Tamandua tetradactyla: one gene and its partner. Each later gene encodes a partner of the first gene's protein in a complex. Links are inferred from orthologs where the notes say so. Each region holds a gene or a part of one and is shown on either strand. Other genes may lie near its edges.

Region 1 (3,746 bases):
TTTTCAGCATCAAGCAACCAGTCATCTCTGAGTCTAGCGAGAGAGCCTACATAAATTCAGTGGTGTGCTGGAGCCAGTTTTTAAAGCATTGGTAGCTTGTAATTGGCCTGGGAGGGCACATTTGCAGTACAAAAATCACTGTTTTACCAGCACACACTTTCTGAAGGACCATGCGGCGCGTTCCTTGAGAAGAGCAAGCATTCAAAAACTTTTCAAATTATATAGGACAGGTTCCATAAAATGAGTATGCACATGTCTAGGCCAACTAATCTGGTGAAAGTTGAAGGCATGTGCAGTGAGAATACTTGTCTAAAGTGGTGACTCAAGACCATGAGATACTTTGAAGTAAAGAAGACTTGAGTTCTTACATAGGATGTTTAAGTCATCCAAAGTGTTCTCTGGGGAAATAATTCTCTGTATTCTGGAAAGGCTGGCATGTCGCTATCAGAAGAAATCTACATTTTGGATTGGGTGGGCATACTTTGGAAGCAGGGATCAGGTGAATGCTTGATCATATTTCAAATCTGTATTGAGACAAAAAAAAAAAGGGTGACTACTGTGTCTGAAATACAAAGCAAAATGTTCTGTGTAAATCATAAATTACTATATTTTACTTGCATAAGGCTGACTTCTTTCTCAGCAAACATTTGCCTGATGCCATTCGAGATCCTATTCCCAGAGAGCTTATAATCTAGAAGGAGAGATGATGCTCAGAGGGATCTATAATTTGAAGCCCACCTTGGTAAGTTGAATGATCTCTTTTTAGAACGAAAGTATAAATAAGAATTGGGTAATGGGCCAGATGACTGAAATGAGAACTTTTGAGAACCTTGATTTAGAGGTTCCTGTTTGCATTTCTGCAGCTGCCTCAGGACGCACGCGTTTGGTTTGCTCGGAGTCTGCTTGCAGAAGTCTCTTCAGTTGGGCTGGGTGAACCGCAGTCTGAGAGATTTTGGCTGCATTGCTTCCCTCAGCGTTGTTCTTCTTGGGTAAGCAATTTCTTTGTATTTTTTAAGTACTTGTTTAATTTGAACCTTGCTCACTCAGAAGTAGGCCAGTTATTAAGAGTTTAATTGACAAACCTTTAATATTACGAAGCCACAATTGCAGTTTTTGCCATCTCACCAGGGCACAGTCAAATGGTTGTCTAGTGAAGGCAGTTTTTCTTTCTGTAGTGTAAAGTAACTTAGGTTACTCTGAGAAAAGAAGAGTAAGGTTTGCTTTTAACAACAAAGTAAGTGATGGTGATAAAGCTTTAGCTTTTATGTTGCCTGTGGGTTTCAGGTAGAGCTGTCACTAGGTGTTCTTGAACTCATGGCAGGACTCTTCCTTCACTGTTTCTCTCCTCCCAAACCTAGACAGAATTTAACCCCAGGAAGCCAGGGACTCAAACCTCCCAAGAGAGTTAGGCTATTGTCCACCCTTGTTGTACCTTCTGGAAGCCCTGGCCTTGGGCAAGACTGATGTGGATATAACTTAGGTATAACCTGGTCTGAAGGAGAACCAAGAGCATTGGTTTCCAAGGTTTCCTTCAGGTTGAGGGTTGACTTGTGACTTGGGCTGTGTTGTAAGATGCCATGTCAATGGCCACTCTTGGAAGGAAAGACAGGAATGCATTTTAAAAGCTTCGTGTTTCAAAGTGGTTGTGTGGACTTCTGTACCAAAAAGCACCTGAGAGCCTATAGATTCACAGCAATATGGAGTAGACCTTTTGAGTATGTAACGGTTAGGCATTTGTATGTTTGCTCAGTGGTTGGCTGTCCTTTCTAGAGGCAGCACTTTTGGCTGAGAAACCCCACCACTCCCTTATTTTTTGTCTGTACTAAGTTTGGGATAAATGATGATTTGGACAAGTTATATCCTGTGATCCTGGGGGAAACAAAGTTTTCATCCTTTTACTGTGAGCTTGTAACATTTGGAGGTTATTTTTATACCTTGTGGTAGTAGTCTCACTATCATGAATCTCTTTTCTGAGGATTTTTTCCCCTAGCATAATTATATCAAAGATAACAATCTCCTGCATTATTAATAATAGGAGAGGGGGTTCTCCACTGTAACCCTTCAATAGTGATAGATGATATTAATGAAGGAGACATGAGCCCAGCTCAAAACGTTTGGCCAACTTATACAATGATTTCCTGTGTGGAATTATCTCAAGAACATTTGCTGAGGAGATAAATCAGTATTTGGAGAAAGGCAGGAAGCAGAGTAGAAGCTGAGAATTTAAATAGAGTCTATTATTTTCAAGGTGCTTCTGGGGCTTCTAAATGCTTTGGTTGGGTTTATAAAAACTGAGATTCAAGATTCTTCTTTATATTATATTATATATCCTGCTGTACATTTATAATAGGAGTTTCTGAATATTTGTCATCTAAGTAGGAAATTTAAACGTGACTAGATTGTTCTTGGTAAATGTTCCTGTTAGGTGTTATTAGCTCATTTGGCAGGTGGTTACTGAGCTCTTACCCTGGCCTTCACACTGTGCTGGCCAGGAAATTAATTACCAGGTAAGCCTACCCACGCACTGTTCTTGGCCTTATGGAGCTTATAGTCTTGGGATGGAGTGGGGATGGAGAGTGAGAATTTAAGCAAATACAAAAAAATAGATAATTATAAATAATGACACATCCTATAAAGGAAAGATAAATAGTACTTGAAACATTTATCTAGGGATCAGACTTGGTCTGAATAATTCAGAAGTTTCCCTTAGGAAATGACCTTGAACTTGAGATCTGAAAGATGAACAGGGGTTAGGTAGGTGAAGGGGTGAGTGATGGGGATGGGAAAAACATTCGGTCAGAGGGAGAAGATTAAGTTTGTTTTGATAATAAAGTTCAGAGAAGCCCTTGCTTTAAAATATTTACTTTCACCAATGTGGAGAAGCAGTACAGCATAGTAAGGATACAGACCCTGAAGCCAGACTGCCTGGGTTTGTCCTGCCTTTGCCACTTGCTTTGTGATCTTAGATAAGTCACTTCACTAACCTATGACTCTATTCCTCATTTGTAACTCCTCATAGGATTGTTGTAAGGGTTAAATGAGTTAATGTGTAAAGTGCTCAGACAGTGCCTGGTGTATAATCATCTTGGGTTCATTGCCTGTTAACTACTGATTGCTGTGTGGTGCTTTTTTATCTAGGTAAAAAAATGGTCTGACCTTTTAATTAATGTGAAGGATGAGTGATTTCCCAAAGATCGAAGAGTTAGTTAAAAGCAGGTCTGATGGAGTGCACGGGTAGGTTAATGGTTAGAATGCTTGCCGTCCATGTGGGAGACCCGGGGTCGATTCCTGGACCATGCACCCCCCCCCCCCCAAAAAAAAGAAAGTCTGACCCCAGAAGATAATTTTTAAAAAAACATAATTTCTTTTTTCATTCACTTAGACATCTAATGGTACATAGGGCTGAAAATGGATGGCTTATATTCATAGATTGTTTACATGTTTTCTTCAGATTTGTTTGAAAATGGTTTGGGTGTGGCTCTGAGTGACTGGGGCTGGGTGACTATATTCAGTCTTTATGGAGTCACTGGTTTCTCCTTAGAATTGAGTGGCTCAGTTGTAGGATGTCTATAAACATTTATTCAGTATGTCCCAGGCACCTTGCCAGGTGCTATAGGTTGGGAATGTGATACAAATATAAACAAGATTGATATGGTCCTGTCCTTCCAAATGTACAGACTGGAGTAGGGGTTGTTACCAGATATGTTAACCAATGACTATTCCTCCATGCAAATGGTACACCGTGG
Region 2 (3,746 bases), on another chromosome or scaffold:
TACACTAGTAAATGGTTGAAATGGCCCCTGAATTTACTTCCTCTTTCCTATCTCTTTTCTGGCTCAATAAATATAAGAATTTTCCAATATTATTTTTAATAGTAGCTACCACTTACTGAGTACTTACTATGTGTCAGGCAGTGTGCCAAGCATTTTGGGGGCATTATCTCATCTAATTTTCATAGCAACCGCCTGAGGTAAGTGTTACCTCTAAATAACTTGTCCAGTTCTTGGCCCTTTGCTGTGTCCAAGCTTTAACCATTGAACCACACTGCATCCCTCCTCTAATTCACTCCTGATAAGAACTATTCGGAACTCCAAAGTCTCCGTGGTTATAAATAAACGTTATCTGGAAAGAGCCACCCGAGAACAGTCAGGAAAATGACACAAGAGTAAGTGTGAAGAACGCCAGGGCAAAAGCGATACCGAAGGCTTTTTAAGGGGATCCCTAACTCCCCGCATCTGCTCCCCTTTATTCACCCCTACTTAGCCGCACTTTGAAAGCTTACTGGCCTTCGCTGGTCAATTTCAGGGCTGCAAGCCCTTGAAAAGCAGGGGGGGGGGGGAAACTCGGGTATTTCCCAAATCAGAAACTGCAGTTACGGAGTTCAATCATTACTAGCGATGGAGAAATGCCTCCTCGCGCCTCCTCTGCATTGGCCCTTCTCCACCTGGCGAGCGCACAGAAGCCGGTGCCGCGAACCCCTCCAGTCCGCTTCGCGCAGAGTCTCACGTGGGAGAACTGCGCCCCTACAGCAAAACGCCGGAGTTGGGCGGACGGCTCAGGGTACCCTGCGCCCTGGCACCGGGGGCAGTGGCTGGGAGGGTGGGTACGGGGTCCACAGCAGAAAACGCCCTTCAGGACCGGCGAGAGGCGGACAAATAAGGTCCCGGGCCCCGGGGGAGGGGGCGATCCCAGTTTCAGTCGCCTCGGGGGAAGGGCTAGCCCGCCCCTCGTCCAAAATACCTAGATATTTAACTGAAGGGAGGGGAAGAAGGGACGCCAGCGTCTCGCGCGGCGGGCGTACGGGTCCAGCTCTCGGGTCTCCCACGCTGCAGCCCGAGACTCGAGCCCGGTTGCCAGGGCAACCCCACGCGGCCGGTGAACCCGGCGCCCGCCGCAGGGAGGGGAGCGCGCTGCTGGCCGGGCCGCTTCCGGAAGTGACGCGACTTCACCTGCCGAGCGGGGGAGGGGCGGGGGCGCAGAGGTGGCGCTGCCTCCACCGCAGCGGGTCAGCAGCGCGTGAGGCTCCGGGAGAGCGAGACCGCGAGCGAGAGCCGCCCACCTGCAGCCGCCGCCCACGGCCGGGCCGCCACCATGGAGCTTCTCCTGTGCTTCGCGCTCGTCTGCGGAGTCGCGGGTGAGTGGTGGGGGGAGGGCAGGACGGTCCTCAGCGTCCCCGCCGCCGGCGCTGCCCCGGGGCGCTCGCTGCCCGCGGCCACCGAAGAACAATGAGGCGTGGGGGAGGGGGCGGGCGCAGTTTGGGGGCACTGCCGCTGGGATTGGCGGTGCGAGCGGAGTTGCACCGGGGTGATGTTTGCGGTGTCGGGTGTACGAGCTGCGAGGTTGCGGCGGCTCGGAATTGAGCCTTGGAAACGCGTAGGGTGTCTTGGGGGCGTTGGCGGAGCTGCGGTCGGAGCCCCCGGATGAGGGGTTGGGGATAGGGGTGGTAGTGGAGGGGCTCGTGGGTGAGTGGGCGCGGCCTGCCCCGTGCTCCTGTGTTCTCTCCTTAGACGGTTTGCAGTAGATGCGTGCTTTGCTTTATTTGCCCCGGTCCTTTCTTCTGTTATCCTCCGTTTTGTGTTGGTCCAAGGTTACCCAATTTTAAAAGCCTTGGGCGGCGAGTTTTCAGGTGCCAAGCAGTCCAAGCGGAGAGGCTGGATTACAAGCGCCATTATTAAGTGGACACTGAGCTTTTAGTGTTTCGGATCGTCCAAGTTACCTCTAGGAAAGAGGAGCAGAACGAACGCTTGCCTAGGCATTCTTGGTCTGGCAGAAGAGGGCCAGCCCAGGCGAGAGCTGCTAACTAGATGATAAACCCTGATAGGTGAAGTAGGAAGTAAACCACGGGCAATCAAAGGCTGGTTCCTGCAGAAATGCATATTGATTTCTGCAGTCCCGGGGCAAAGTGCAAAAAGAATTTAGTCATCACGGTTTTGAGTTCGTAATGAGTTGGTTTATTCTGAAGATAAGCAAGATCTTGCACGGGGTAACTCCCAAAGGATTCCTTAAGTACATTTTTTTCGATTGTGCCTTTCTCTGTGAGGGGAAAAAAAAACAAGTATTTAAAAATAAGTGGACCATTAGAAAGCGTAATCATTTTGACGAAAGACAAAGCAAAAACCGATTTATTTCCGTGTCAGTGTTTTAATGATCTGATCTTTGTCAAACTGAGAAGTGTATTTTATGACCAAATGATACATTAAAAATTCCATGGAGCCATGGAAAGCACACTTCGTCTAATCTCCGGAAGGCTGATTTTTTTTTAATGCTGGAAAGCAGGATCGGGTGGCCCTTTCTGTTGGGATGGCTCTCTGCTTCCTGTTGAAATGTTAATTCCATTGTTAGAAGACACAGCTGTGAGCATTACTCATGGGATCAAATAATCTATTACCAAGTCTAATCTTCTGATTCTGTAGAATTCCCTCCACCTTTTTGATACATATCGTTTAGACTTGGTTTAAGTTCCCAAAGTAAAGCTTCTGAAAAAGATGAAAGGTCACGTAACCAGTTTACATGGTGCCTTTGTCTCATCAAGTCCTAAACTGAAGTTGAAGTTGGCAATGCTTGTGTTCTCTTAGGAAAACTGTTTTAGACAACTCCTAAGGCAGAAAAATGGAAGAACAAAAGCAAATCAGTTAGAGGAATTATTTTTTCTGGGGATATCCAAGATAGTTGTCTGGATCTCATTTTTTTCTCACTTTGGTAGGCATAGTGTCAGCGAAGGTTCTTTATATATGCATAGAGTCATTCTGCTGATAAAATGCACTAGCATAGAGCAAGTATTTCATTAGAGGACAATATCGTGCCTTCAGCTAAACAAAACAATTCTTTTTATTCCAGTTTTCCAGTTTAGGAAAGAACTCAGAATCTGTGTAATTGATGTATAGCCTTTGAGAACATCAGATATGTCTATTAGAAATTTGTTGCTTAGAACTAGAGTGCATTGTTAAATTGAACACCTGCATTAGCAAAACAAGATTGAGGCTTGCGTTATTGGAAATTGCAATGCTCTCTCTGGTGTATCTTCCTCTAGTCTGTTTTATGTTGTAGAGAGTTTGGTATATTCTGACTGCTGATGGAATTCCTTTGAATACATTTTTATTGCTACCTAGTAGCAAGTTATACAACTGGTAATAGTAGTGATAATAGTAGTAGAACAATAGGGTAGCAGCAAGAGTAAAACTAAACCCTTAATTGTGCACTAGTTAAATGCCAGGCACTATTTTAAGAGCCTTACATATACTCAATCTACCTAGCAACTTTAAAAGGTATGTATTATAATTACCCCTGTTGAAACAGGTACAGGGAGGTTTCATAACTAAGATCACAGAGCTGGTAAATGGTGATTGAAGAAGTAAATGCAAACAAGTTATTGGCAGCACAATACTATGCTATTCTGCCTGAAGCAGCAGACATTTTCTTCTTTGATTATTTCTAATCAACATCTTAATTTCTACCAGCAATCATCTGTCATTTATTAAGAACCTGTTACGGGGTACCAGGGACAGAGTTGGGATGGGGA

What was found. The genes of interacting proteins can lie anywhere in the genome.
Region 2: the proteins of JAML (region 1) and CXADR are in contact, whole or in part, in a crystal structure (PDB 3MJ7), measured with the Mus musculus proteins. The link is inferred for Tamandua tetradactyla from reciprocal best matches to the Homo sapiens genes JAML and CXADR. Residues at the interface, in NP_001005421.3 of Mus musculus: Arg57, Asp59, Ala69, Tyr72, Phe75, Tyr77, Leu80, Val82, Glu120, Arg122, Ser127, Met128, Val129, Met130, Lys131; in NP_001020363.1 of Mus musculus: Thr23, Gly51, Pro52, Asp54, Glu56, Leu58, Ser60, Gln65, Ile66, Val67, Asp68, Gln69, Val70, Leu73, Tyr83, Lys121, Lys123, Lys124, Ala125, Pro126, Gly127, Val128, Asn130.

The regions. Positions count from the first base shown.
Region 1 is NC_135334.1:22,494,174-22,497,919, forward strand, and holds the start of JAML (junctional adhesion molecule-like), read left to right. Parts: upstream 1-836; 5' UTR 837-989; intron 990-3,746. UniProt on the Homo sapiens protein: Transmembrane protein of the plasma membrane of leukocytes that control their migration and activation through interaction with CXADR, a plasma membrane receptor found on adjacent epithelial and endothelial cells.
Region 2 is NC_135336.1:75,319,665-75,323,410, forward strand, and holds the start of CXADR (coxsackievirus and adenovirus receptor), read left to right. Parts: upstream 1-1,191; 5' UTR 1,192-1,318; coding exon 1,319-1,361; intron 1,362-3,746. UniProt on the Homo sapiens protein: Component of the epithelial apical junction complex that may function as a homophilic cell adhesion molecule and is essential for tight junction integrity.